Linked DNA regions of Coturnix japonica. The protein of the gene in region 7 purifies or fractionates together with the protein of the main gene of each other region. This does not show direct contact. Links are inferred from orthologs where the notes say so. Each region holds a gene or a part of one and is shown on either strand. Other genes may lie near its edges. The genes, in order: EXOSC9, EXOSC7, ZFC3H1, C1D, EXOSC3, EXOSC2 and MPHOSPH6.

Region 1 (4,075 bases), on a different chromosome or scaffold from region 7:
GGCTATAGGGCCACCCGGAGCCATCTGATAGCTTGAGTGTCTTACTAGCTTCTAGAAGGGCCAGTGCAGATAAGAGGAAAACTCCCCCCTGGAATAACGAATAGAAAACATACACTTCTGAAGGAGGGTCAGCTTTAGTTATGATTTCTTCTGCTTGTTCTTCCACATTGTTGGTATCTACAGCAGCACTGTCCATTTTGAAGGCAGTGATCTTCTGATTTGATATCGATTCTGCAAAGCCGAACTTCCCACCTTCTTTCCTAGTCATCCAACAACAGACGTTATTTCAGGATATTTCACATATATGAATATAGCAAGCATTTCCATACTTGTAATACTTGAAATGATTACAAACAGAAACAACCTGCTGTTTCATTATAAACTGGCATTAACTTTTCAATCAGTTCTTCAAAGTACTTTCCATTCCTTCCCCAAAAACTCACCTCACTTTCTGGTCGTTCTCCAAAGCTTTCTGAATTAATTCTGTTATTTCCGCAACCTTCACAGCTGTTATTTTACTGCATCTCAGAACCTGTACGTTACATACACGGTAACAGTTTAGAATCATGAAAACATGACTTAAAATAGAACCACAGAACAGATCCTTAAATGTTTTCCTTGACTTTTACCTGATCCTTTAATAGCATAATCCCTCCACTAGACTGGATGGTACAAATTTCCTGATGTTTATTCATGGCAATTACAAGGAGACCATCCATCACACGTTCCTCTCGTTCATTTGGATCCACCAACAAATACGTCCTAGAACCAAGTTTTTAACATAAGACAACAGAAGTTTGAGGTTGACTTTGACTCCCTTGTAACAGTTTTCTTCCTATCTGTGCAAGCTGCTGGCTACTATCACACTGTGGAGAACACGTATGAACGTGTTAAGAAAGCTGTCTGTCAACAAGAGTATTTTCACAGTGCTGTAACAATAATTTTGCACAACTGACAATAAGCTGTTTCTGTCAAGAGCTTTAAGAAGAATTCTTACCCCTGCTGGAAGAAGGCAAAACTGACACAAATAGGCATGTGGTGGATGCTCAGGGGCACAGGATCACGTTCCTCAGGAGAGTACTGAGAAAAGAATTGGTTATTGGTTACTTACATTGTGCAAGAGCAATGTAAAGAAACAGAAAGCAAAGAAAAAAAGTCTAGTCAACTAAATATTAATAAAAAATCTCTTTTGGTTCTCCTTGTATAATACTTCCCATTTACGACTTATGGAGGTAAACCTGGTATGACTTACCACCGTTATTTCTTTTCCTTGCACAGAAACATCTGGTCTGCGAAAATGGCATAGGGCCACGATTCCTGCTATGCTGGCAGCATCTATAATGTTACCATCGTGATTTAACAGGTGCAGATCCACACGGATTTGCCAGACCTGAGGGAAAACATGTATAACTGGCAATGTGTAACATAATTCCACAGAAGCTCCTGCTTTTCCAAGACACTTCCAGTTTTTGAATCACAAAAAAGAGCAGCTTACATTCCTCGAGTATTTGATTTAAGAGTTAGGATGAAAAAAGACCAGTATTCAAAACAAGACAGAGCACCTGAAAAAGTGACTTTTATGTTTAAAATCATTAAACATGTTTATATGTGATTGAATTCGAGAAATATTTAGATGTATAACTAAGGGACGTGGCTTAAGTGGGGAAATATTGGTGCTATGTGGATGGTTGGAGTGGATTATCTTGGAGGTCTTCTCCAAGCTCAGTGATTCTATGCAATGGTTTGAGACTGGTAGTTTTCTCCTACCTTTTCACCAGCAACAACGCAGAGGGATTCTGTATCTATACACTTGGAATTCCTCAGGCATCGTTCTATCAGTCTGTTCACTTTGACCAGTAACTCGGATTGCCTGTTCAAACAAAATCAACCCAAATTCAACATCATTATGGTACATACTTGTGCGTGTCCAAGCAGTGGTTCATACATTATCACAGTATCAGTCTCGTGCGGGTTGGAAGGGACCTTAGAGATCATCAAGTCCAACCCCTGGGATTCGAGCCTCTGTGTAGCAGAGCGGCACTTCTACCACTTGCACCATTATCCTTGCCTGGACTTCTTAAGAAAGCGACGTACCTGCCAGGCTCAAAGCCAGGTGCAGCCATGGGTGAGAGCTCCAGGTTACAGAACAGAATCCCTTCTGTAGCCCGGTTTGGCTTCGGGGGAACGAGTTCACATGAGACTTGCCCAAGGACCCTGCAGAAGGAAATAAGCAGCTAGGTCAGAAAGCTTAGCAAGAAAATACCTAACGATGGAAACAAAACATATAAAGAAAAAACAAAGACCCATGTGGATGTTTTCTAACACATTTCTCGTTGTTCAGCTCAAGTTTCCTTTCCTTCACCCTGAGGGCGGTGAATGCGCATAGAGCTGTGTGTGTCCCAGCCCGGAGACCCCCGGCCGCTCCTACCTGGTCTTGCCCAGCTCCACCACGCAGCAGCCGCGCTCGGGCCCGAAGGAGATGCGCACATTGCGGTAGTCGTAGCACTGCCGCCCGTCCAGCCGCTGCGGGGACAGACACACACACACACACACACACGGGGCGGTCAGCGCACCACGCCGGGCCGCGCCGCCCCGCAGCTGAGGCGACAAGGGCCCGGGGCAGGGTACGGGGCAGGGTACGGGGAGGCCGGTCCGGCACCGCACCTTCCTCTCCTGGATGGCGCGCAGCAGGAAGCGCCGCTCGCAGTTGGACAGCGGCGTCTCCTTCATGGCAGACCCCACAAACGGACGGCGTGAGCTCGGCTGCGGGACGTCATCAACACGCGGCGGCCGCTCCAGCCGCCTCACCACAGAGCGCGGCCGGCGGAGCTGCTGAATGGGGCCCCCTGGCGGTGGGCGGACGCGATTCTTCGGTGCAGGCGCCTAGTGCTCTTTGTGAGAGGAATTCCTTCTTCCCTAATACCCAGCCTACACCTCCCTTGGTGCAACTTGACGGCATTCCTTCTTGTCCTGTCACTGTGACCCAGAAGAGGCCGACTTCACCTCACCGTGACCTCCCTTCCTGAAACTCAGGACTTGGTCTTGTTGAAGCTCATACAGTTGGTCTCAGCCCACTGATTCAGCCTATCCAGATCCCTCTGTAGAGCCTTTCAATGTCATTTTGCCTGACAGTAGAAGTAAACACTTCTCTTCAATGAGAAATCTTCACTGTTATTGAACCAGCCCACATTAAATCAACTTATCTTGCTATTTCTTTCCACCTTTTCACTGAATCATAGAGTGGCCTGGGTTGAAAAGGACCGCAGTGATCATCGAATTTCAACCCCCTGCTATGTGCAGGGTCACCAACCAGCAGACCAGGCTGCCCAGAGCCACATCCAGCCTGGCCTTGAATGCCTGCAGGGATGGGGCATCTACAACCTCCTTGGGCAACCTGTTCCAGTGCGTCACCACCCTCTGTGTGAAAAACTTCCTCCTAATATCTAACCTAAACCTCCCGTCTCAGTTTAAAACCATTCCCCCTTGTCCCTTTGTTTTTTTGGTTTGTTTATTTTTCCCCACCACCTCCCTTTTCCTTTTTTCTATTTTTCTCTTTTTTGGGGGGAGGGGAGGAGAGGGTTGGAAAGTACAATGACTTACTGCCAACTGTATTTGGAATCACTGGTATTTGTGCTCCAGGTGTGAAAACTGGACCTGCAGCGTTTGCATTGAGGTCGACCACAGCAGGCAAGCAATTAAGCTTAAGCATTTTTCAGTGCAGTTTAATTCTCGTAGCTTCTGTGCAAGAAGAGAGAGAGCTGAATTTCATGCTTAAATGGACATTCTGTGCATGACTAATGCAGCAGTTCAGATATTTAGCAGGAAGTATCAGGGCTTCCTTGGGTATCTTAGCTGTCACTGTTATTGATTCAGCATGCTGCTTATCTTGGGAAGGATAAATTAATCAGTTCTACTTGGATCTCGTTCACTAGCACTGTTTTGTTATAACTGCTGCATTTGCAAGGGAAGATAATGCTTACCATCTCTCTAATACTCTTACAAAAAACATTATATTGTCTACCAGTGAAAAAGAATTGAAATCTGGAAATGGATGCATTGCTCAACAAGTCATCCA
Region 2 (4,166 bases), on a different chromosome or scaffold from region 7:
TGATGTTTCTGAACATTCAGCACAGCTAAGACAGTAAAATAAACTGCTGCTGTTACTCAGACACTAAGCAGGTTAGGGCAGTGAAGGTTCACATTTCAGATCTGATTAGGTTTTTTATTTCAAATGTGAGAAGCAAAGTGTATATGCATACTGCTCCATTACCTTTTCTTCTACTATACTAACCAGTCAACAAAGAATTCCAGATAACCTTCATCTGGTTTCTCTAACTTCGGTGTCCCCATTTCAGCTTTTACACCAACCAAGATATCAGTGTGTCCCTGTTAAAACAAAAATACATCACACAGTTAGAACTATGGGCAAAATACACTCAGTTGAGATGCCTACAGCATGCAGACACTACCATCTATTCTGTTGTCTTTGCTAATTGCTCTACTAGAGAATTGCAGAACAGAAAGGCTTTAGGAGAACAATTCTGTGCCCACATATCAGCTTTCTTTGTGTATATAAGACAATCTTAATAGCCATACCTTTTTATCATTGCAGTTCTGGATCAGTTATTTCTGCAGAATGTTTATAATACCGCCAAAAAATAATTGTTTTCTTTACAGTCAACACATGCCAGAAGTAGTTTTGCTTCACTGTAAAGGAGCAGAATTATTTTTTCCAGTGACAGGCACAACAGCATCTAACACCCAATAGCAGATTAGTTCAGACTGAAGGCCTTTCAGGCACTCCACTATAAATTTAGCTCAAATGCATTAAGCTAACTTGAATTATTCATATATCTTGTCATTATTTCCTCAACCTATCATGTCAATTAGAGCTAAGCACATACATACATGCATAGGTCGCTCTGAAAGTAACGTCTTCTATTTATTTCCACAGAAAATATAAGAGGTGCAAAGAGCAAAATAACATTATTTGATTGAACAGATTCTCAGCAACAAAACCTTATTAACATAGTCACCATCACTCTGCATTTTCACCACTGATGAACAAGAGACTGCATGCTGCACTCATAAAAATCTGCACCAGCAGAGGTAACCCACTGTTTCATAGCTATGACTGCACCACTGCTAGGAAAGCATTGCCTGAGCAGTCTATTTTCCATCAAGCCCAAAGAGGTGGAAGACAGAAGGCACCAAATCCACACTACACAGTGGGTGCTGTAGGACAGTCCAGACAAATTTGGCAACGTGCTCCAGGGTCCTGAAACTGGTATGGGACTTGGTGTTATCGCATTGCAAGAGAAAAGGTGTCTTCTTCTCTGCCTGACTCTGGAAGCTCAAGCCTTCAGCTTAGTCAGTGTCATGATGTAGCAGTCAGAGCTGATGGTTTGTCTGGGTTTCAGGAAATCCAAAAGGATCACTTCTTTCCTATCCCAAGAGACAGTTCACAATACTTTGCCTGCTGAAGGCTATCTCTTGAACTTTTTCTTCAATAGGGAATCACATGTCACCACTCCATGGACTGCGTTTTCTCACCGGTGCGTAGTGGTGACACCACATCTCATCATCACTACTGATGTGATCCTGGAAACTGTTGCCTTCAGCCTTGTATTGGTTCAAGAGATCCTGACAAACTTATAACTTTGAATCCCCCCTGTCGTGCAAGTGGTAGAAGTGCCGCTCTGCTACACAGGAGGCTCGAATCCCAGGGGTTGGACTCGATGATCTCTAAGGTCCCTTCCAACCCACACCAGACTGTGATACTGTGTGATATACAGTATTCTTTCTGCTCCTCTGTGAACACTTATGGGAGCCACCTGGCATGCATTTTCTGATATTCCAACATTGTCACCATCATTTCTAATGCAATGAAGCTGATATTCAGCTCTGTACACAGTTCCCTGGTCATAATCTGCTGATTTGCACAAATGAGCTGATCAAGACAGTTCATTTCATCGTATGACAGCCGTGCATGGTCATCTAGAACATGCCTTGTATTTCACAAGGTGAAATGCACCACCACACAGAATCACAGAATTACCTGGGTTGAAAGGGACCTCAAGGATCATGTAGTTCCAACCCCCCTGCCTAGCAGGGCCACCAAACATACGCCTTCACTAGATCAGGTTGCCCAGGGCCCCGCTTCACTGTGCTCACGTTCGCTGTTGGGTCTCCATCAGCATTCAGCATGCGACAATGAATGCCAACAGGGACAATCGTTTCAACACGACATAATTCAATACCACATCTTTGCATTTCCAAGTCAGACACCATTCTGTCAGACTGCACATCTGCTGTCATCAGTCACAGGGCAACACAATAGAATGAAATATTGTTGGGAAGGTTCAACCTCTACTACCACACCACCAACATCTGCTTATGATACTGTGGGCCAACATCATAAAATAGGAGGGGCTGTTTTTGGAGCAACATATTAGACACATATGAGGAGACACACATGGACGTATTTACAAGCAGCAATTATTTATCATAAGCCAAGCGAAACAAGCCAGTTTTATCAGCAATGTAGACGACTCCTGAGCCGTTCACCTACCAGCTTCACTCTCGCAGATCCACTCGTGTTGGACACCACATCTGTCTCTACTTCTGCACACCTGTAATCTTCACAGCCACGGCCATCCACACGGAGGTCCTCCTAAACACGACAACCAACGTAATCGCGAACATAAGGAACCTGTGCTTTTCAAGCTTCCCGTGCCGAATACATCACCAAAGATGACAAGCAACTATTCCCTACCTGGACGCCGTGTATGATGTACATCTTCTCCGCGTCGCTCAGCACTACGGACGCCATGACACCCCGCGCGCTGCAGAGCACTTCCGCTTCCGCTTCTCGGAAGGAGGCGAGCTCTGCGCCTGCGCACCGCCGCACTTCCGCAGGCGGGAAATGGCGCCGGTCGCCTCAGCGCCTTGTACAGGGCGGTGGGGTCGGCCCTGTGTGTGTGTGTGCCCTTAGCTGAGGTAAAAGTAACCTGAGGGTTGTGTGCCCCGGTGGCGCAGTGGTAGGAACGCCGCCTTGCAACACTGGGGCCCGGAGTTCGAATCCCCCCTGTGGCACAAGTGGTACAAGTGCCGCTCTGCTACAGAGAGGCTCGAATCCCGGGGGTTGGACTCGATGATCTCTAAGGTCCCTTCCAACCCACACGAGACTATGAGACTATGAGGGTACCCGAGTATGAAGCTGAGGTTCTCCTGGCTGTCAGACCGCGGAGAAATGCGGAGTTTTACCCGAGACATCGTGCTGGTGGTGTGGGAATGCGATTAAAGGCTCCAGTTTGACACTGCGTTGTAATTGAGGGGTGTTTATTGTGGCAGCTTCCATTAGCTCACGTTGTAGGTGCCATACGCTCAGCACGGCTCTCCTGTATGTTGGTTGGTGCGCTGAGTGGTGCCCACTAAGGGCACAGTGAGGTTTGGGATGTTAGGGGGAAGTTCTTCACCAGGAGAGTGGTTAGGCCCTGGAACAGGCTGCCCAGGGAGGTTGTGGATGCCCCGTCCTTGGAGGTGTTCAAGACCAGGTTGGATGGGGCCCTGGGCAACCTGATCTAGTAAATGTGTATGTTTGGTGGCCCTGCCAGGCAGGGGGGTTGGAACTACATGATCCTTGAGGTTCCTTCCAACCCGGGTCATTCTGTGAGGTTATGGCGCTGGTGCTGCCTGGCTCCCAGCTGCACCCACAGCGCTCAGACACAAGGAGGGGCAGCTTTCCTTCCTTCATTCCTTCCTCCATGTCTGCCATCCATCCCAGACTGGAAGCGCAGCCAGCAGCTCCTCGCTGCTCACAGGATGCGGTGTCGTTTATAACAAGGACAAAGCGATGCCTTCTGCCTCATTTTAGCCAGCTGGAAGTGGAAAAAGACCGTGATGGAGCCGCCCGGCACGCAGGGGCTCACGCTGCCCGGTGAAGCTGCAAGCAGCGCAGGCAGCGGCCGCTAAATCCGCAGGTGCCGGCTGCTGCTGCCCGGCTTTGCGGTGCCGAGGCCCGGGGCGGGGCCGCCGGCCGCCAGCCGCCACTTCCTGGTTCCTCCGTTGCCGCCCCACCTCCTCGCCGGGATCGCGTAAGGGGACGGCGCTTGGGGAGGGGGGGGGAACCGCGCTCCGCCGGGCCCAGTGCCGCGCGCGGGGCGCCCGCTCCGGCGGGGCGGATGGGAGGTGGCGGCGGGCGGCGGCCTGCGGGTAGGTGGCGGGGCAGAGCCACGGGACCGCGGGGCTACGGGTGGGGTGGGGTGAGGTAAA
Region 3 (3,935 bases), on a different chromosome or scaffold from region 7:
GAAGAACCTACAAACTACAACCAAAAAGAGACCGACTGATGAGATAAAAAAATTGTGAGGTCAGAATTCAACAGTAAACTAAGTCACACTGTGGCCCCTTGTTTCAGACCCAGAACTCCGCAATCCTCTATGTAAGAATTTCTCCAGAAGGCCCATTCAACAGCTCCACACTAAAGTAGCTAGGAATTAGAAAGACCTATTAAAAGCTAATATTGAAAGAAAAATAAAAAATAACTCTTTAACTGTAGCTGATTTACTCCTATCCATTTACATTTCTGCTCCTACAGAGTGCACACAAAGTAATGGTTATATGGGTAAAGAAAAAAAGCCACTGCTTGTTAGCAGACCTTCACGTTTCTCACTTGCCCTGTGAAATTCCAAATATCACCCCATGCACTGAACCTCCCTGTACAGTCCGTGTGAAGGTTTCTTCTGAAATTACTTGCTAATTGGAAACCTCCTCCACTCACGTCAGCAATATGGAAGTACTTCTATATGCAGGGATACTGTAAAACCAATTCATATAAACAGCAAAGACATGAAAAATACAGCATTTATATTTTAGAGAGAAAATCACGAATCTTCCTTAACTAACCCACTAGAACCAAATGTGACTTAAGGGGCATTAGAAAATCATCTAAAATACTTAAACAGAGACTGCATCGTAATAATAGTGATAAAATGCTTCCTTCATTTGCTCATTTTGTTTGAAAACTGAATTATCAGTTTCTGAATGGTCTCTTAAAGTGTCCAAGAAGACTGTATCTGCATCAAGCACTGTAAGGTCAGCTGAGAATGACTAACACACACCTGCCCTGCAAATTACACATTACACAGAAAGTAACTATTTTCTGGTACTTTGAGTAACACTGCAAATATCATCTATTTTCAGCACTGGCGCGCTGTGCAACCTTGGGCAGATCACATCTTCATTCCCTGCCTCCAAGATAAGAAACAATCCTTGAAGGAAGAGTTACCAAGACTTAAGGAACGCTCTTAACATCACGAGATGAGATTAGGAACAGCTCTTTACCAGTAATTTACATATTCCCTCTGCATACCAAAAAAGAACAGCTGACACAGATACATAATCTTGGCTCTAAAGTAGCACAGGGACCCAATGAGCAGCTTTCGAAGCCTTATGTCCTAGCACAAGTAGGGAAAATAAACCCTATTCTTGGAGATGAGCAGCTCAACCAAAAAACAAGTTGCAGCCTTTGACTATGGCCACAGTGGACAAAAAAGCAGCGTAAGATTCTTGAAAGCAACTTTTAACCACTAATTCTTTCACCCAAGTTTTGTTGGGTGGTTTGTTTGTTTTTAATATCTGTGTTCTCAGGTAACTATGCAGCTGTATTAAGTCGCAGTGCCAGGCTGCCCCAAAGTTACAGCTGCTATCAAAATTGTTTTTTCCTACAGTTAATAGCTCTAGAAAACGTGAAGAGCTTTTTCCACTGGTTTTGCTATTTCTGCTCTTAATGGGAGAAAACGTTAAAACTGATTAAAATGACCTCACAAAACTTATCCGGGAGCAACTGGTAGAGAACATCTTCAAGAAACACTGGGTGTGGCTTTACATAGAAACGGGGCATTCCACGTTACCCAGACTCCCATGTAATGCACATTCCGTGCACAGAGGCCCAAGTGACATTTAAATTGATGTTGGCTTTGGCTACACATAACCTTGTTAGAGCTATAAGGGAGCCTGCTTTGGCAAGGGGGTTGGACTCGATGATCTCTAGAGGTCCCTTCCAACCCCTACAATTCTGTGATTCTGTGATAAGTGAAAATGAAAGAAGAACAGATCCTTCATTGCCCAATAAGGAAAATTAACCAGCTTAGCGTTTGTTACAACTAGGACACTTCAATCACATAGTGTCGCACCGACGCCGCTTCTCGAGGCTCACTTCAGCAGCACCTAAAATCCAACAGAACAAGGCTTTGTTTCAGGCTATGTTTTTCTCTATCCCTGATCGGGCAGGGCAGGCTGCAGCGCCGTCCCAGCCTCCCACTACGAGAGGCAGAGCCTAATGAGCCGCGACCCACCCAGCGCCTGGGCCACGTAGCACCACCCGGCAGTGCTGTCCACCGTCCCCCTGCTATAAAAGGATACATTTCCGAGGCGAGGGCTCCCTCCAGCCCTGGCCGCCGCTGAATCCAGCGCAGTTTCCCCCTCCGGGCGGCCTTCCCGGCGGGTTACCGCCCCGTTCGCCACCGCCCCGGCTCCTACCCCAGCGCCATCCGCCCCTGTAGGGCCGGCCTCGGAAACGGAATCGGTCCAGGGCGTTGTGGCTGCGCTCCCAGAAGGAGAGCCGGGGGCCCGTGTCCGAGTGCGGGCCAGACGGCATCCGAGGAGCGGGCAGAGGAGGCGGGTGTGAGCGGAACGAGTCCTTGGGCCGGTAACCGCCGTGGCCGTGTAAATGGCCCATCTCGGGCGGGGGCTGGTGCCGGGACCGAGGGAAGCGCCGAGAGGACGAGAGGGAGATGCCGCCGCGGAGGCCGGGAGGCGGCCTGCGCCTCGAGTACGGCCTATTGCCCGCCACGACACCGCCGGGCTCGGAGCCGCCGCCGCACGGCCCGGAGCCGTTGTTGTCATCGTCGCTGATCTCACCGTCTTCCAGCTCCCCTTCTTCTTTAGGGGAAAGCCCGCTAGAATCCAGCGCTGCCTCTGCGGGTGCGGCCTCCGCGGCCGCCATGGAGCCCAAAGTGTCGGCGAGGCGCAGCCGGTTTCGCTCCGTGCGCAAGGCGGCCCCACGCCTCCCCCCAACACAGCCGCCCACCCAGCGCAGCCCCGACCCGCGAGGAACTCTCGCGAGACCACGCCCTGCCCCCCCGCTGCCCTGTTACGCAACGACGCAAAGAACGCGAGGGTTGGAGACGGCTTCTCCAAACTTGGGGCATTCTGGGTAGCGTAGTTCCCAGCGTGGCGGCGGGGTGTGCGGGCGCCAATAGAAAGTCGAGCCGCCATGTTGGTGGAGGGGCCGCCATCTTGTTGAGGGGAAGCGGGCTCCTTGGAGAAGTAAAGTGGTGAAAGAGTGGTGTGTGTGTGGTCATTATTTATTCGCTTTTGAATCTTGAAGAAGACTCGATGCCCAAAACTATGTGCTCAAGGCCCTTTGCATCTCTTTTGAGCCAACGGGACTGTCATGACTATAAGTCATGACTATATAGTCATATACATATACACTATAAGTCAAATACATGACTAGAAGTACATGCTCTCCCAGTGAAGTGGCTTATTAGAAATTCAGAGTCATGGAATCTGTATGGCACATCATTTCATTTATATGATATTCTCTTCTTTTTCCTCCATTATAGGGTTATGAGGCAGGCAATTTGATTTCTGAATTTCCAGAAAGAAGATGATCCTTCCACTGTATTCTTCACTATTTAATAAACTGATTAACTGATAATGTTCTCTACTATAAAGGGAATAAAGTGGCACGAGGAAAAAGAATGTGTTGATCTATTGAGCTATTGGTAATAGGTGAATGGTTGGACTGGATGATCTTTTAGGTCTTTTCCAACCGATTCTATGATCTGATATATTCAGGACCTACATATTATATACAAGAGCACACAAACATTTGAAAACTGCCTTTCTGGAATAAAACATGAAGGATCTTCCACATTTATCCCATAGGTAACAAATGGAGAAATTCTGTGAGGTTTTTTGCAGTTTGTAAACATAAGATGAAATCCAAAACAAATAAATTCTCTTTGATATATTTGACTTCATACATTCAAAGGATATATAACATAGCTGCTGGAGCACCATTTTTATTTTAAATGCTGAACGTATTCTCAATACATTCAGATGGAACAATTTAAAATATCAGAAAGCATATGTCTTAATAAAGAACATGGAATTTGATTTTGCCTTTACCATATTTCCTGCATATTTTCTGCATCTCTAGACACAGACAAAAAAGCAT
Region 4 (4,007 bases), on a different chromosome or scaffold from region 7:
GTACACAAGCAGTGAAGGGTAGGACGCTCAGCCTAAGTCTGCTCCTTGTGCCAAGGAAGGAGGGAGAAATGTGTCAAACTCATGTTTGCAGTTCAGCAGGAACCAGAGCAAGTTCCTCCTCCTGCTGTGCAGGGCCCCTCTCTCTTTTCATTAGACTGTTGTTTCAGCATTGCTAATCTCCAAGCAGGATATGTTACACTGTTGGCACATGCCAACAAGAAGGCAGCAGTCAACAGCCTACAATAGCTTCAATAGTATTAAATCAACGAGAACAAACTTACGCTGCATTAGAAAACATGTACAGCGGAAGCTCCACAGAACTGTTCCTGCCAAAACCAACACAAACAGCGCACGGTCACACCTGCTGAATGACAAAGGCAAGGATGGGAGGAACTGAGAGCGTATCAGTGACTCTGTAAATATGCCTAAAGGTTACACTGCCCTCAATAGTTACGTTTCATTTATTAAACCACAAGCAAGATTTCCTCAAAGTTCTGCAAGTGTTTCCCTATGTATTTTGAACGAGCAGAAATTCAGTTCCAGGAGTGGATGTTCACTACACAGATTGCTTTTGTTGGAGTTGATGACTTTCTGCTGTATTTTATTTGCCACAGAGATCCAACTTAAACATAGGAATAATACACATATTCAGATACTTGAAGATAAGAACATATTTGCTGATCAAATGTGAGCACTGGGGAAAATAAGGATAAGAACGTATCTTCATTAGCAAGTAATAACATAATGCTGAACATGCAATCTGTGGACAAAACCTGGACATCAAATCTGTCCCTCTTACATTGAAAAACAAACTCTAATTAGTCTGTGGGTGCATAATGATTTTGCTTAAGAAGCATAAAGTAACAGAAGCTACAGGTATATATCAACACGGCAACATGAACCCTTCCAAGACAGAATTAAAGTATGTTCAGCATCACACGTGATTCTTCACCCAGAATTAAAATAGCTCTTTCAGGATTAAAAAGTATTTCCTTGAAATAGTTTGTAACAAGTGTATCCAGCGCTGTGTTTAATATTGCATCTCACTTAGCACTTCCTGCTAGTTCTCACCTTTTTTAAGCACTAGAAGGTTGTTTTTTTTTCCAACTGAGCTCAGATCTTTTTCTTCCAGATGATTCACCTAACAAAAAAAAAAACAGATGAGATTTCCTGCTTTTCATTGATAGCTATAGATTATGTATAGAAAACCAAAAGAAACGCAAACACTGTCAGTTGGGGTGTGTAAACTGCTTTCAGATTCCAATCAAATGCATTAACAATGGCGGTACAAGAAACCGTCTCTGCCAGCATCTAAAATTTGGCACTGTCCTCCCTATTTCAATGCTGAATCAGAACCTGTAGTGACTGTAGGTGATGCATGGCAGATGTCTGTTCTGCTCCAACATTAATTCACCGCTGTACCTGTACAGCAACGGAGCAACACGGAACAAATATCTTAAATTTAAAGCTACTAAAAACCACGACAAAGCTTTTTAATTACACACCTCTTTTGGGCAAAGAAATCCACTTTATTTTGGACAGAGATATCCATTTAATCCCATATTTGCAAAGCTGTAAGTACCAAAGGCTCCCATCCATGGCAGAGACTGCTCAGTACATAACGAATAATTAGTTACTTGCTACTTATCACTGTGTCCATAGAGCTGGTTTTTCAAGGCACATCTACTAACAGCAATTACAGAGCTCTTCAAACACCAACCCACAGTCTTGTTTGCAAAAGCAATTAAGCCTATCATGAAATACCAAATACACAGCAGCAGGCTTCTCTTGATCCCATTAAAAACATCCCAGCTCAAGACACGGTAGTTATCCTTTGCACTGTATTATAAATAGGTAACAGCCAAGCACTCACTTTTAACTTTGACTTCAAAGCTAAGCTCCTGGCAGTATTCAAACCTGCACAGAAAAGCCCTGCAATACAGTTAGCAGCCACCAGGTTCTCGCTGATGCCACTGAGATTTAAACTCAGCAGCCCCAGAGGATCTACAAAGTTTATTTTACTCTGTCTTAAATGAAGATCAAAATTCAAAGGAAGGGAATAAGATTTTTAAGGCTCGCTCACGTTTCAGCCCACAGGGATATGGTGAGGAATCAAGTACCTCACCCTGGCCCTTATTCACTTCTACCCTATCTACATAGGCGGAAACCAACTCGATCCCTATGATTCCCAAAACACTTTGATTCTCTGTGCAGCATCATCAGCAGTGACAGATTCCAGAGCCGATAACAAAGTCGTTTCCTTTGCTGAACAAATCCAATATACAGTGTCTCTTGTTCTGCTCAATCCTGTCAGTACTCCCATCAGCAAGGACAATGATAAAACCAGCTGTCTTTGTGTACATCCAGAACACCTGTTATTGCGACATGCTCATGCATCTAAATCTACCCTCATTAATGTGAAACCATTTCTTCTTGTCCTGTCAGAACAGACCCTGCTAAATTCTGTCCCCTTCCTTCTTACAGCCCCCCATTCAGATATCGAAAGCCTGCTCTGGGGTCTCCTCAGAGCCTTCTCTTTTCCAGGCTGCACAGCCCCAGCTCTCAGCCTGTCACCTCCGCATCTCCTCAGTCACAGACACACGAAGCCGGGAGGACGCACCAAACGTTACAGGCCCTCGTTCCCAAACAGCAGCTCCAGGCGGCTCCGAAAGCCCTCAGATCACACTGAGCGATGTGACGACGCTTATACCGAAGGGAAGAAGGCCCCGATTCCTCCCTGCTCAGCCCCACCACCACCGAGACGAAAAGCGACGAGAGGCGGGGCCTGCCAAGGCGCGCAGTGATGGCGTCACGTCGGGGGAAGGGCGGGAAGGGGGATGTTACCACAGTGGAACCATTATATTTACATGAAAACTGAAGGATTCTGTAAGCGTAAAGCTACTCTATTTTGAAGCTAAACTGAGAAGTGTTGTGGGACCTCTGGTCAGCCCGTAGATTGGGTTTGATTAATTGTTAAGTTGTGATTTGGCAATGGTTTACACTGCACCCTATGCCCAGGTGAACTTAGATGCACCTTGCAGATAAAAAGCTCTGGAAATGTTTTTCTTTTCTTTTCTTTTTTTTTTTTTTCCTGCATTCAAATTAAATTAGAATGGCTTTAAACTTACTGAGCAGAGGCTCTTTTCCCTTTTGGAAACATTTCTAATCAAAATACAGATGTGAAAGTATATGGAAAGAAGGAAAGAGCTTGATGTAACTGTTTTGGGGAGGAAAATAATGTAATTCAATAAAACCGGCTTAAACTCTTTGATTAAAGCTTTTTTAACGTAACAGATAGGGAGATAATAAAGATCAAAAGAGCTTGTGTCCATGCCAGCTAGATTAAATGACAGGATGTGGTGAAGTGCTGGATGCTGTATCTGGTTACTTTACATATGAAACTATATTTGCTGGATGCAAATACATCCAATTTAGAGGAGAGATTTATTTACCTGCACACATCCCCCAAAGAGGCAGGGAAGGGGGCTGGAAGGGGTCTCATCCCATGCAGCTGCTCTTAGGTTTGCTATACATTCTCCCGGGATGTGGGAGAAAAAGAATGGGAATGTCAGGAAGAGAAAACACTGGTGGATATGAAGATGCCACAGGTCTGCAAGGCAGCAGAAAGGGTCTGCCATCCTGCCTGCTTGTGCTACAGCTCTAAGGAACATGAAGCAGAAATTCTGTCAGCTCTGTGGGAAGATTGATGACTCAGAAGATGAAAGGTTTAGCATGAGATGCAAATGAACTGATTTTATTAACTGTTCTTATAATTTATTGTTATTTTTCATTGTTGTGGCAGGGCTGCCTGGGGACCTGAGGCTTTATGGCACCGCAGGCTCAAAATACTCACTAAACACTCAGAAAGCTTCCACAGAAGGTAACAAAAAATGAAGAGGAGGAAAAAAGCCTTTATTAATAAACAGAGGACATATCATAGCTGAACTCTGGAAAAAATAGGCAACAGGTGATAATTCACCCACTTCAACAGGACACTGTATTGTGGC
Region 5 (4,168 bases), on a different chromosome or scaffold from region 7:
AATAAGAGAGATGATTAACAATATTTCTTTATCTTGACTAAGCTTTGGCTTAAACCTCTGGATCTTTCTGCTGCTCCTGCATGTTCTCTTCTTTATTCTGCTGTTCCATCTTCTCACGTTCTTGTTCCTATTGTAAAGAGAAGACAGCTGAAGATAGCGTATATGCTTTTGATACTCAGTTCCTCGTGCTCTTTAGTAGTTAATATTTATATCTCCTATACTTTGGATTAGGCTCTTTGAAGCTTTGCACAGCATCTATTATAGACAGACTAATCCATATAGATTCTATGGGAGGAAAAAATAGCTAAGATAGTTAACTGCAGAAGACAGTCTACTTATCCTAATCTAATTTTCTAACATATCTTTAGTTAGTTTCTCTTTAGCTTAGTCTCTTCATTTTTGGTAACATCTTGTCATGTAGCAGGTAAGTTTTTCTCCCCAGCTGCTCAGCTGTCCTTTCTAATTCCTTTCGAAATAATGATATTTTCAAAACGCAATGTTTAAGCACTTTTTGTTATCTTTTCCCTTTCAAGATCAGAATACAATTGTAGGTACTTTCCAACATTCTGATTCTCTTATGATTCTATGTTGATAATGACTACTATTGTAGTGAGAGCTACAAGTTGACCCAGCATCACACGCTACTATAATTATGAACAACTATTAACCTGCCGTTGTTCTTCAAGTTTCTGTTGTATCAGTAGCTCTTCTTCCTTCATTTTTCTTAACATTTCAAGTTCTTCCAGGGCTGCCTGCCGTTCTTTTTCCAGTTTGGCCCTTTCCAACGTTCTCTATTTCAGAGGTAACAAGAAATCAATGAAAAAAAAAGGAAACAAAACACAAAGAGAGATTATACAGCATCAGTTAGATTGACATGAAATGCTTTGCCCGAGGTAGACCCACCTTCTTTTCTTCTTCTAGTGTTTTCTTGTAGTTGTAGATCCAGTGTGCCAGGTACTCTATTGGGTCAGCGGGCCGACGCTCCACAACCTCCGCCAGACCCTTTTTCAAGCAGCTTCCCAGACATCTCCTCAGGTATTGAGACTCCATTCTCACCTACTGACAAACCGACAGATATTAGTCACCGATATCGGAATTCAGACAGCAGTTAGAGGAAGTGTTGACTGCATCACATCCCCAGTGTGATGTTGGTGGTTTTATCAAAGCTCATTTCATCAGGCAATTAATATGAGAAGGTGGTAGCGGTGCTGTCCCCCGTTCCCTACCGCTTCGCTCCTACCGGCCCGATCGCACAGCGCGTCCAACCGCGTTACCGGGCAACCGCGCTCCCGGCTGGATCCTGCGTCAGGCGGCCGGGCGGTGTCGCTGTCGTTGCGCTCTCGGCCCTTCCATCGCCGCCGCCATTTTGCGTCTGCTTCCGCCGGAAGGGCCGCACGCGATGGCGGGTGGGGGCGGCGTGCCGGCGGAGACCCGTGTGGGACAAGTGGTGCTGCCCGGCGATGTGCTGCTGCTGCCCGAGCACGGAGAGCCCGACCTCGACAAGCTGCCGCTGGGCACCAGCGCGGCCCCGCGGGGGAGGCTGCTGTGCGGGCCGGGGCTGCGGCGCTGTGCGGGCGGGCTGCTGGTCACCAAGTGCGGGCTGCTGCGGCACCGGCAGGCGGGCGGCGGAGCGGCGGCGGGCGGCGCCTACTGGGTGGACTCGCAGCAGAAGCGGGTACGGCGGCAGCGGGCGGCGGGGGGCGGTGATGTGCGGGACGAGCCCGCTGATCGCTTGTACCCGCTTGTAGTACGTGCCGGTGAAGGGAGACCACGTTATCGGCATCGTGACGGGCAAGGTGGGGGACGTGTTCCGGCTGGACGTCGGTGGTAGCGAGCAGGCCTCGCTGTCATACCTGGCCTTCGAGGGCGCGACCAAGAGGAACAGGCCCAACGTGCAGGTAACGCTGCCCGCCGGGAGCTTGCCTTTGTAAACGGTGTTTTTACCACTCGGACCATATAAACGAGGAACGTGACTTTTTTCACAGAGCTTTTGTCATGGCCTGTACGGGGTGTCCCGATGAGGCCGTGAGTTTTTTCTGTTTTCTCCGGAGCTTTTTGTGCTTCTTCACTTCTGACCTTACACCTTTCCCATCGGTTAACAGTGGCAGGTGCTACTCGTGCAGTAACGTGGGTCCCAAGGGGCCACCCTGAGGCTTTAAAGCATCCTCTGAACGCTGGTGCTGGTAGAGGAGGGTTTGCTTTGTAGCATTTACAAGTTGTTTTGTGATATGTGCGTTCACCAGAAACACTGTCAGCATGGTGTAAAATGGGCTGTGATTTTAAATGGAATAGACTGGTATGGCTTCTGGTGCGCCTTCTGAGTAAAGAATTGTTTCCTAACATGTAACCTTTATCTCCCCTCTGTTAATTCAAAGCCATTCCCCCTTGTCCTGTCACTACTAGGCTATATAAAAAGTCACTCCCTATAAGCACTGGAAGGCTTCGATGGGGTCTATCCAGAGCCTTTTCCAGGCTCAACAAGCCTAACTCTCTCAACTTTTCTTCACACAAGAGGCGCTCCGGCCCTCTTCTGACCCATTCCAATGGTCTTGTGTCAGGGGCCACAGGCTTGGACAGAGTACCCCAGGTGGGGCCTCACAATGGCAGAATAAAGGGGTCAGTTACCTCATTCACCCTTCTAGCTATCTTTCTTTGGATCCAGCCTGGGATCCCATTGGCCTTCTGAGCTGCAAGTGTACGCTGCTGGTTCTTGTCCAAGTGTTCATCCAGTTTACAACTGTTTTGTTGTCTCTTTATGGACTGAATGTTTCTTACAAATGTGCATTGTTATCTTCTCTAATGATTCTTTTTTTTTGTTGTTTTCTGGCACTGCTTGCTTTAGGTGGGAGACCTTGTTTATGGTCAGTTCCTTGTAGCAAATAAAGACATGGAACCAGAGATGGTCTGTATAGACAGCAGTGGAAGAGCAAGTGGAATGGGAGTAATTGGACAAGACGGCTTCCTCTTTAAAGTTTCCTTAGGTCTGATAAGAAAGTAAGTACTAAGAAAACCAGTTGTACTAAAGTGTTGGGGTTGTTAAACTTAGCATGTGTCTAAACAACACACAGTCATTAGCTCCTCTCCCTCCAGACCCTGTCCTGCTTTTCCCTATAGGCTTGGGAATAGAATCGATTAAAAAACAGACACAAAGTAGAATTCATGGGTTGAGATAAAACTGTTTACAAAGAGAAAAGAAAACAAGATACTACTTAAGAGAAATACATATATGTGAATGTATATAGGAAGTTACCCACTGACTGATGCCCAGCTAGGCCCCAAGCAGCAGGAGAGAGAGAAAAAAGGACTCATGTCCCATTCAAAACTTTCCTTTTGCGTAATGTTATATGGTATGGAATATCCCTTTGGCCACTTAAAGTCAGCTGTCTTATTTCTATCCCTTCCCAGCTGCTTGGGTGCCCTGCCCTGTGCTTCCGAGATCCTTGTTAGTTCCCCATCCCCCAGTTGGTAGGATGGTAAGAGAGAGTGGGGAAAAATGAAGTATGCTTGGCTCTGTACAGCAGTGTTCAGCAACAGCTGGAAATACAGGTGTATTATCATTGTTTTTCTCCTAAAACCAGAACAGCATCTTAGCAGGCACTGAAGGAGAGACAATTGTGTGCAGCTGAAACTGGAAGAGTAACATTTTGTTTTTAGGTAGGATATGCACAGCTGTCTCCAATTCAAGTAGTGTGAACTAGCCAGTAACTGCTATGTGGCTGTTGTGCTGCATTTATGCCAGTTTTACTGGGGAAAGGATGCATGTACATTGAACTAGAAACAGTGTGTGACTATCATAAAATACCAGCTGATAGTGATAAGAGATGGTCAGACTAGTTGTTGCTTTGATGTTGAGGGAGGAGAGGTGAGCATCTGTTCTTGGAGATAACAAGTAGCTATGTCATACCTGGGTTTAGTAAGTAATTTGGTTTATGTGTCTTATCAGTGTGAACAGCTAAGTTGTTTTTCAGCCTTGTTCTTGGTAACTCTTCTGCCTAATTAGGAAAACAGCTACAGTGCACAGGTGCTCTCTTTAGGTGCATGTGTTTTGGGAGGAGAACTTCAATTCTGATATGGCTGGATATGCAATTTGAATCGTCTTAACTTTTGGAGTTGCTTTTGTAACTCCAGTGCTACTGTTTAGCTGCTGGCTGATAATGTTGTAATACTT
Region 6 (4,132 bases), on a different chromosome or scaffold from region 7:
GGCTTATTTCAATGTGCAAAAACAGAGATAAATGCCAACTGCATAAAGCCTAAAATAGAGCCCTGGAGTGAGCAGCAAGCCATGGGGACAATGACCTGCAGAAGAAGAGCGATAAAGTTTGAGATAGAAGATTTTTCTTCCCAGAGCTCAAGTCCCAAGCAACTGGTGGGAGAAATGGATTCATGCAGTAACTGTGGAGAGGGACAGCAGCAGTTCAGAGGGAATGTGTGCAATGAGGAACTCTGCTTTGAGCTCCCATGTAGGAGCTAAAATTCTTCCTAACCTACTGACAAGGGCTATAATATCATACTCTACTGCAGAGCCTTTTATTCCTTAAGGATCTCCCCCCAAACCTCTATCCTGATGCTATCTCGATATAAATACAAAGAAATTCTACTGACATGGATAGAACTGCACTGTATTTAACAAGATCTGACCCTCTAACAGACCACTAAGCACAAGGGTTAGAGACTCATACAATCCAACCAGCACAAAATGAGACTTTTGAACAACATACCTTCCCATATTTCAGACTCCTGGTGTGCAGTGATACAGCCCCATCTGAAAACACAGACTGGACCTCTGCCTGTCAGTGCCTCTTAAGGAAACAGACTTCTTCATGCTGCCCTGTACCAACAGCCACCAACAGAGCTTTCCCTGCCTGCCTGAGGTCTGGCTGTTCCCCCTTCCAATCCCTTTGACTCTTCTGTCCAAGTACAAGCAGTGAAAGGATACACTGATGAGATCCCCTTCCTGCAGATAGTCCCTCATTGCAAGCTCATCTTCTGCTGATCTCCTCCTCTAAAATGGACAATGCAAGAAAAGTTATGGGTCACGTAGAATGAGAAAACATTAATTAACAGCAACACAAAGAGAGGATCATCTCCTTAGGACACTGTGCAAAATGCATGGGAAGTCAAAACCACACGTGTGCTAACTGCAGGAGGGGCTCAGAGCATCCTGCCCTGCAGCACTGTGGTCCTTCTCTGCACAAACTGTGCTCACCAGTTCCCCACCAGGTAAATTCATAGACGACAACAACAGGACTGAATCCAGCCTGGAATTGGTTTCCACTTTCCATCGTTTCTGTTGAACCTGGTGAAGAAAAAACAACGTTAATGTACACTCAGAAAATGAACTAAGTCTCTAATCTAAGTGGGAAGTCATGCAGATGACTGACTCTATAGCAAAGCACTGTGACAGCCATAAGAAATGACCGGCCAGTGCAGCAGAGGCTGTCAGAGAAGGAATCATTTCAGTTGGAAAAGAGCATTAAAAGCCACCTGGTACAACTCCCAGTAATGAACAGGGACACCTGCAGGTCCCTCAGGTGCACAGAGCCCCGTCCAGCTCTGATCCTGAATGTCTGTGGGGGTGAGGCAACCACAACCACCCTGAGTAACTTGTGCCAGCGCCTCATTGCCCTTATTGTAAAAGACATCCTCCTTATATTGAATGTAAATCTCTCCTGTTGAGACTGAAACCATTTCCCCTTGTCCTATCACAACAGACCCTGCTAAGAAGTCAGTCCCCTTCTTCCTTACAGAAAGATACTTTAGATAATGACAGGCTGCTCTCAGCTCTCTCCAGCGCCATCTCCTCTCCATGCTGCACAGCCCCAGCTCTCAGCCTGTCCCCGCAGGGAGCTGTTCCATCCCTCGGATCACTTTTACGGTCATCCTGTGGATGTGCTCCAACAGATCCATGTCCATCCTGCACCGAGGATGCCCCACCAGGACACAGTGCTACAGATGGGGCCTCACACGAGGACATGCCCACCTCCCTGTCCCACAGCTTGCACTGCATGCATCCAACCCTATGGGTCCCAGCCATCCCTATGGGGCTGAGTGCTCCCCTATGGGTCCCAGCCATCCCTATGGGGCTGAGTGCTCCCCTATGGGTCCCAGCCATCCCTATGGGCGCCAGCCATCCCTATGTGGCTGAGTACTCCCCTATGTGTCCCATCCATCCCTATGTGTCCCATCCATCCCCTATAGATCCCATCCATCCCTATAGATCCCATCCATCCCTATGTGTCCCCCCCTTTAGTGTGGGGTCCCTGTTCCCCCTATGGGCGCACTGGACGGCAGCTCATTACAATGGATCCGGATGGGCACTACGGTTGCCACCAACGCCCTCCTGCAGCTCTGCATGGCACAGTGCTCTCTGTGCTCCAGCATCTCACTCTTTCTTTGTCAGACCTCATCACGTTCTCCCGTGTCCTCCCAGCTCCTCACCTCCGTGATCCTCCCGACCACGATGTCTCCGACCTCCCCGTTGTACCTGGCGGTGGGACAGAGCACAGCATTAACACAGCATTAACACAGCATTATTACACACCATTATTACACAGCATTATTACACAGCATTAACACACATTACACAGCATTATTACACAGCATTAACACACATTACACACCATTATTACCCATCCCATTGCACATCCCGTCCCTATATTCACCTGCTCTGTAGCGGTGTCACACACACCAATTTATTCACCCTCTCCACAGCTCCAGCCACCGAGGCGACGAGCTTCTCCTCATCCACATAGGTGCCGTGTCCCCTGCAGACAGAACGGACGCCATTAGAGCCCAAACCGCGGCCTGCCCCGTCCCCTAATGCTCCTCCATCCCCACCTCATGTATCCCGTGTCCGTAGTGATGGTGTCTCCGGGTACAACCAGGTGTTTCTCGCCGCCCCGAGGCCGGCTGGGCCCCACGGCTTTACGGATCACGGGCAGCCGCATGGACACCGCCGCCATCTTGGTTGAAGGCGGAACTGCGCCTTGCGGTTACACGTGACTTCCGGACGCCATCTTGAATGAGGGCCGTAACGAGAGTCACGTGGGTTGGGTACAGGGCGGCCATTTTGGTTCCTGGCAGGGAGGTTGGGGGGGGGCAGCGATGTGAATGGGGCAGGGGGTGCTCCCCTATGGGTCTCATCCATCCCTATGGGGCTGAGTGCTCCCCTATGGGTCCCAGCCATCCCTATGGGGCTGAGTGCTCCCCTATGGGTCCCATCCATCCCTATGGGGCTGAGTGCCCCCCTATGGGTCCCAGCCTTCCCTATGGCGCTGAGTGCCCCCCTATGGGTCCCATACATCCCTATGGGTCCCATCCATCCCTATGGGTCCCATCCATCCCTATGGGGCTGAGTGCTCCCTATGGGTCCCAGCACCCATTAATGGGGTTGGACCCACAGCCCCCCCCTCCCCCCAATTTAAACCACGCTCGGTCCCGAATCGCTTTTTATTTCGAGTACAAGAGAGAGGTACAAATGTATTTACAGCGCTGTGCGTATACAATCCCATAATATAGAATATCAAAGGCTTGTAAATAATGTTTTACATAAATATTTACAAAGTTAAAGTGACGGGTTATTATATATTTTCCTTCTTGGGTTTTTCTTTTTTTCCCTTTTCTGGCAGTAAAACGCAGTGTTTTTATTTTTATGAGAGCTTTTATACACCTCGGATTTAGGATGAACACAACAACCTTCCAAGTTAATGGGAACAGCCGCTCCGGGCTGTGCGGTCCCCAGAGGGCAGCAGAGCTGAGCGCTCCCTTAGGGCTGGATGGGGCTGAGCAGCTGCTGGGCCGTCATTGCATGGTCCAAGTTGGAAGGGACCCCCCTCAAACCCCTCCTAAAGGCCGCCTGGTCCAACTCCCTACACACACAGTGCTCAGAGCCCCGGGCAGCCTGACCTCGGGGGTCTCACAGCCCATCTCAGCCTCCCATCCCTTGGTGGCATGTAGACAAACCCCATGGCACAGCTGGGGATAGAGGGAGGAAAACCCAACTCGGCTGAACAGACAAAGCTGATGGTCCCAGTGATGCTGTGCCACGTCTCCTTGCTGGGCGCTCGCTGGCACAGAGGAGAAAGGACAAAAGCAATTTTCCTTCCTATCAAATGATCCATAAAACCCAACCTTGATTCATCCAGGTGCAGCCGCAGCTCCGAACACACCAGCAAAATCCACACGGGATGTCCTGCCGTGCCCTCCCATTCTCCCTTTCCCACCAAACCCTATGGAAACGCTGATGCTCCCAATGCAAACTCAGAGCAGCGGCTCTGCCACGGGCTCCCAGTTCCTCACACATCTCAATGCCAGTCTTTGCACGTGGGCAGCGA
Region 7 (4,204 bases):
TGAGACTTTCTTCATATAATTGAGTTTCATGTCTTATTTAAAAAAAAAAAAAAAAAAAAAAAGGAAAAAAAGAACCCTCAGGTCCATGCTGGGATGGTCACTGCTTGAAGAATGTGTTAAATTGTAGCTTTCTCCAGAAATTTACCATTAGGATGAGTAATTGAGACATCTAGATGAGGAAATAAAGTAATAGAAAGAAATGACTTTGATTTGAAAGCTATAATGCATTGACCTGCTGCAATTTTAGACAGAACCACACTGACCTTTCTCAGTTTCCCACAGCACTGACTAAAGGCAGTGACGTTTGGGTCCCAGAGTTGCTTCAGATGCTTTTGTTGCACGCTGTACAGAAAAAAAGCTCAGACAACCAATATATTCAGGCCATCCACAGCCAGCACAAAACAGGATCATTTCTTCTATCCGACTGAATTAAGCATAATTGTTTTTTTTTTTTAAACATTAAATTAGTTAAACCACAATGATTAACCACCACCAAAAAAGACCAACAAAAATCAGTTTTTATTAGCTCTCCAAACATGTTTCCGAAGCTGTTATTATGCTTCTATGTTCAGACCAAGATAATTATAAGTTCAGAATTTTTTGGTTGGAAAAAAGAGACAAGATTAGCAAACTTCTTTTGGAAGACAGAAATTAAAGGCTCACAATCTGCTCAAGTGTCAAACTGGAAACGTTGCCCAATATTCGCCTCGCTGGAGGAAAAGCTTTGCTCTAAACTCCTATTTTTAAATATAATATGCTTTATAAAAAAAATAAAATTGAAAAAAAAAAAAAAAGGATTTTGTCTCTGTTCTTTTCCCAGCTTATTTGTCAAGCAGTTAAAAAAAAACTATGTTTCTGCTGAGTGTTTTTTTCATTTTCATAATAATAAAAATAGCAGCAAAAGCTGGACTGCCTCATTGGATTGGACAAAGCTCATCTTTACTGCAAATACTTACTTTAGATGTTATCGTAAAACATATATACTGTTGCTATTGATTGCACGTTGACACTCATCCTAGTTATGCACAACATTAAAAACAGCTGATGGGCTTAATATCCCACACGTCAAAAGCTGCTTAGAGAGGGAAGGATGTATGACATCCATTATATACACATCCACTTCAAAAAATGCTTGTTATGTGGACAGCAGAAATTTCAACAAGAACAGACTGAGATTAACAATTCTACCCTTTATATAAAACAGCAAAAACTCCAAACAATCTTCAGTTCTTGGTGCTATATTTGGTAGGCAACATTTCTGTTAGCTCCAGTTGTGCAGCTGACATTAATCCTGAGGTTTTAAGAACATTTTCCTGGCTTTCTTAGGTCTCGTGTTACTATTCTTCTCTTCATCTTCATCTTGGAGAACACGCTGGTCTCTTTTTCTCATGAATTTCTTCCCTATTGTTCCCACCAGTGTTTCATACCTGTAAACATAATTAAAAAACAACGGTTCTTACTAAAATCAGAGAGAAGTTCAATGCAGGAAATCATAAATGCAATCAGCAATGTAACTATTGTAACAAGCCTGTCACTGTAAGTTTGAGAAGCACAAGTGCGACGTGATCACAGATTATTATTATTATTCACTTTGATCATTTAGGATTTTTAGCAATCTGGAGCTAAGAGGGAATTAGCATAGAATACATGGACGTCAAAAGGCAGACAACAGCTACAAGTTTTTTTTAACCCTGAAAGTTATGGAGATCTTACTGAACAAACACCAGAATTCTTGAATAATCAGTTCTATGAAGTATCAAACACTGTTTTTCTTTGTTTGCTTTTTGTTTCTCCTCCCATATATAATGCTGTAACACAGGACATATTTTATGACATAATCAGTACTGATAAGGAATAACATACCTTCTGGCCATTTCTTCATCAGACACATCAGCCTCCATTTTACCATCCTCCTCAATTTCTTCTTTCTTGCTCTTAGAGTTCATTTGGACCATTAATTTCTGAAAAACGAAGCAAGAAACAGCTTAAACATGTAACCCTGACAAAATGTCAGCTACGCTGAAATAGTGTCACTGCCAGGAAGAATGCATAAAAGGCAGGAATCAGTTTCAATACTGCTTTCCTTCATTTGCAGTACCTTGTTTAGGCTTCTAAAACAAGTGCCTTGTTGCTATGCTGAGTTTGATTTGGTTTTGAGAATAGAGGCAACACAGAGACAGTTTTTCTTTCAGTGAGCTGTACTATTCAAGCATCCTCAACAACATGGCAGGTATCTTCAGGAGACCAGAGATTTAGATACTAATTTTTTTCATTGCGATGCCAGTCTTTGAAATAGTTTTGTTACAGTGGAAAAATATCTGCAAAGATCTACAATAAACTACCAGTAAAAACCGTAAAGCAATGATAGGCCTGGTCACAGTGAAAGCAAGTTCAAAATAACTGAAGGAATGCCCCATTAAATAACCTTGAACAGCCTTCTGTGTGCCTCTGGTTTTGTACTTTCATCTTCTTGTTTCAGTTCAGCCGCAACACTTATTACTATTTCAGTATGCACTAGTTCTATCAGCATGAATCATGCTGGAAAGAAATGAAAGACCCTCTTTGCCCAGAATTTTTACTTTGGAACCTCAAGTTCTTACTTATACAAGTGATGAATAAACAGGGTTGAATGTTCATAAGACCGGGCTCTGAATTAAACAGCAGCAGGAACAGTGAGCTATCTTTCTAGTGAGCAGCACATGGAAGTCTCCTGAGGTCAAGGAAGGAAAATCTGCAGGAGTCACATACTTACTAACCACCAACACAAGGAGGTAAGTGGCGTCTGTTTCTCAGATGCTGCACTGATCAGCATTTTGGCCAAAATCAGTTTTCCTATATAAGGATGGTGCTGCAAAGGCTAAACAGTATGGAGTGTGAACACCAAAGTCCTCATTGCTGAGAGCTTCAATCTTTAAAAGACAATTAAATAGTACCTCAATTTCCGGATTGAATCCTTTGAAGGACATTCTGCCATAAAGTAGATCCTCACATGGCATAAAGCTCCTCTCTTCTATTATATAGCTCCTGCATGAAAGCCCAAACGCAGCAGTTGTCAAACAGTGTGCTTTAATATAATCAAATTAAACAAATGCAAAAAGCATTTGCTGTCTTCCCCCACACAAATAAACAAAACTGCAGTGTATTTTATACCATCAACTACTTTCTGAAGATTAATTGCTCTGATAAATCTTTCAATACAAAGAGCTTGGAGTGCAAAGGAATACTGTTTGCCAGTAAAGCTGTGCCAGTTCCACAAGCAAAATTAACTCTCCTGACAGAAAGCACTCTTTGCTGGTATGATTCCACCTACATTAATGCTTTTGCCAGAATAAAAATACCACATAAATATCACTCTCCAGGTGGCATTACTATACCAGCAAAAGCTTCTAATGAATTTTTCATTGTGATGTTAGATCTGGTATTATTTGAGTCTATCAGGATATAAATGTGTAATTCTCTGTTCAGCAGAGAAAAATTTTCCCATTCCCCTTCCTTTTTCCCCCTCCTTTAATGACCCTGGAAAGAAAAGAAACATGATCCCAAACCATCCATAATAAATACGTTGGATAAAAGTACTTTTTGAACCGTTCCATTCTTTTCCTCTCACACATATGCATCCCTTCCCTCAATCTCTTCATCCCTTCCCTCAAACTACAGGAAATCATGCTGAAGGGACCAAACTCATTTGCCTACCTCAAGGCAGGATTAACTAAACATGTACCACAAACAGCAGAGGTCTATCTGACCTGTCCTCAAAAGGCTTCCAGAGATGAAGAATCCCATCTCCTTTAGACCATCTTTTCCAATAGCCTCATTGTTAGAGATTCAATATCCAACCTGAACCTTCCTTGGTGCAGCTAAAGCTCAGATACCTCTCTGTCATACACGTTAACAGCCACGGACAATAGATTATAAATGTCCTGATTCAGTTACAGTTAATTCCCTGGACCACAGCTTTTTATAAATTATATGTTTTCCTATAGAAGAATTTTGTTCTCTTTTTAAAGGACAGAAGTATTTTCAAAGTAGTTCCCTTGCTACTTAAAGCACCTTTTCTATTCAGCAGGAACGGACATTCGCTTCCCTATTAGCTAAGCCCTCCTTTATTTTTGCTTCATCCATTCTCCCTCCTTTTTCAAAAGCAGGATTTGAAGCGATCTGTGCTCAAGATGATGGAACTGTCCTGAATGGACCCAACCACATG

What was found.
Region 1: the proteins of MPHOSPH6 (region 7) and EXOSC9 purify together in Homo sapiens (affinity purification with mass spectrometry; 5 studies listed by BioGRID and IntAct, with this or other methods). This does not show direct contact. The link is inferred for Coturnix japonica from reciprocal best matches to the Homo sapiens genes MPHOSPH6 and EXOSC9.
Region 2: the proteins of MPHOSPH6 (region 7) and EXOSC7 purify together in Homo sapiens (affinity purification with mass spectrometry; 4 studies listed by BioGRID and IntAct, counting the BioPlex papers as one, with this or other methods). This does not show direct contact. The link is inferred for Coturnix japonica from reciprocal best matches to the Homo sapiens genes MPHOSPH6 and EXOSC7.
Region 3: the proteins of MPHOSPH6 (region 7) and ZFC3H1 purify together in Homo sapiens (affinity purification with mass spectrometry; 3 studies listed by BioGRID and IntAct, with this or other methods). This does not show direct contact. The link is inferred for Coturnix japonica from reciprocal best matches to the Homo sapiens genes MPHOSPH6 and ZFC3H1.
Region 4: the proteins of MPHOSPH6 (region 7) and C1D purify together in Homo sapiens (co-immunoprecipitation; 3 studies listed by BioGRID and IntAct, counting the BioPlex papers as one, with this or other methods). This does not show direct contact. The link is inferred for Coturnix japonica from reciprocal best matches to the Homo sapiens genes MPHOSPH6 and C1D.
Region 5: the proteins of MPHOSPH6 (region 7) and EXOSC3 purify together in Homo sapiens (affinity purification with mass spectrometry; 6 studies listed by BioGRID and IntAct, counting the BioPlex papers as one, with this or other methods). This does not show direct contact. The link is inferred for Coturnix japonica from reciprocal best matches to the Homo sapiens genes MPHOSPH6 and EXOSC3.
Region 6: the proteins of MPHOSPH6 (region 7) and EXOSC2 purify together in Homo sapiens (affinity purification with mass spectrometry; 8 studies listed by BioGRID and IntAct, with this or other methods). This does not show direct contact. The link is inferred for Coturnix japonica from reciprocal best matches to the Homo sapiens genes MPHOSPH6 and EXOSC2.

Annotation. Positions count from the first base shown.
Region 1 is NC_029519.1:48,282,512-48,286,586, forward strand, and holds the start of EXOSC9 (exosome complex component RRP45), read right to left. Parts: upstream 2,801-4,075; 5' UTR 2,731-2,800; coding exon 2,665-2,730; intron 2,524-2,664; coding exon 2,429-2,523; intron 2,215-2,428; coding exon 2,095-2,214; intron 1,871-2,094; coding exon 1,768-1,870; intron 1,391-1,767; coding exon 1,253-1,390; intron 1,081-1,252; coding exon 998-1,080; intron 763-997; coding exon 630-762; intron 533-629; coding exon 444-532; intron 261-443; coding exon 114-260; intron 1-113. UniProt on the Homo sapiens protein: Non-catalytic component of the RNA exosome complex which has 3'->5' exoribonuclease activity and participates in a multitude of cellular RNA processing and degradation events.
Region 2 is NC_029517.1:39,619,642-39,623,807, forward strand, and holds the start of EXOSC7 (exosome complex component RRP42), read right to left. Parts: upstream 2,801-4,166; 5' UTR 2,725-2,800; coding exon 2,668-2,724; intron 2,566-2,667; coding exon 2,464-2,565; intron 279-2,463; coding exon 184-278; intron 1-183. UniProt on the Homo sapiens protein: Non-catalytic component of the RNA exosome complex which has 3'->5' exoribonuclease activity and participates in a multitude of cellular RNA processing and degradation events.
Region 3 is NC_029516.1:32,989,952-32,993,886, forward strand, and holds the start of ZFC3H1 (zinc finger C3H1 domain-containing protein), read right to left. Parts: upstream 2,801-3,935; 5' UTR 2,697-2,800; coding exon 2,114-2,696; intron 1-2,113. UniProt on the Homo sapiens protein: Subunit of the trimeric poly(A) tail exosome targeting (PAXT) complex, a complex that directs a subset of long and polyadenylated poly(A) RNAs for exosomal degradation. The RNA exosome is fundamental for the degradation of RNA in eukaryotic nuclei.
Region 4 is NC_029518.1:378,284-382,290, reverse strand, and holds the start of C1D (nuclear nucleic acid-binding protein C1D), read right to left. Parts: upstream 2,801-4,007; 5' UTR 2,621-2,800; intron 1,142-2,620; 5' UTR 1,072-1,141; intron 365-1,071; exon of another isoform or gene 362-364; 5' UTR 289-361; coding exon 282-288; intron 1-281. UniProt on the Homo sapiens protein: Plays a role in the recruitment of the RNA exosome complex to pre-rRNA to mediate the 3'-5' end processing of the 5.8S rRNA; this function may include MPHOSPH6.
Region 5 is NC_029521.1:3,509,690-3,513,857, reverse strand, and holds the start of EXOSC3 (exosome complex component RRP40), read left to right. Parts: upstream 1-1,368; 5' UTR 1,369-1,399; coding exon 1,400-1,675; intron 1,676-1,748; coding exon 1,749-1,898; intron 1,899-2,842; coding exon 2,843-2,994; intron 2,995-4,168. Other genes in the region: DYDC1 (DPY30 domain-containing protein 1), read right to left, coding at 56-127, 669-791, 904-1,050. UniProt on the Homo sapiens protein: Non-catalytic component of the RNA exosome complex which has 3'->5' exoribonuclease activity and participates in a multitude of cellular RNA processing and degradation events.
Region 6 is NC_029532.1:4,558,166-4,562,297, reverse strand, and holds the start of EXOSC2 (exosome complex component RRP4), read right to left. Parts: upstream 2,801-4,132; 5' UTR 2,762-2,800; coding exon 2,637-2,761; intron 2,564-2,636; coding exon 2,462-2,563; intron 2,284-2,461; coding exon 2,238-2,283; intron 1,096-2,237; coding exon 1,006-1,095; intron 802-1,005; coding exon 736-801; intron 587-735; coding exon 518-586; intron 1-517. UniProt on the Homo sapiens protein: Non-catalytic component of the RNA exosome complex which has 3'->5' exoribonuclease activity and participates in a multitude of cellular RNA processing and degradation events.
Region 7 is NC_029526.1:14,002,535-14,006,738, forward strand, and holds the end of MPHOSPH6 (M-phase phosphoprotein 6), read right to left. Parts: intron 3,025-4,204; coding exon 2,934-3,024; intron 1,962-2,933; coding exon 1,864-1,961; intron 1,428-1,863; coding exon 1,286-1,427; 3' UTR 501-1,285; downstream 1-500. UniProt on the Homo sapiens protein: RNA-binding protein that associates with the RNA exosome complex. Involved in the 3'-processing of the 7S pre-RNA to the mature 5.8S rRNA and play a role in recruiting the RNA exosome complex to pre-rRNA; this function may include C1D.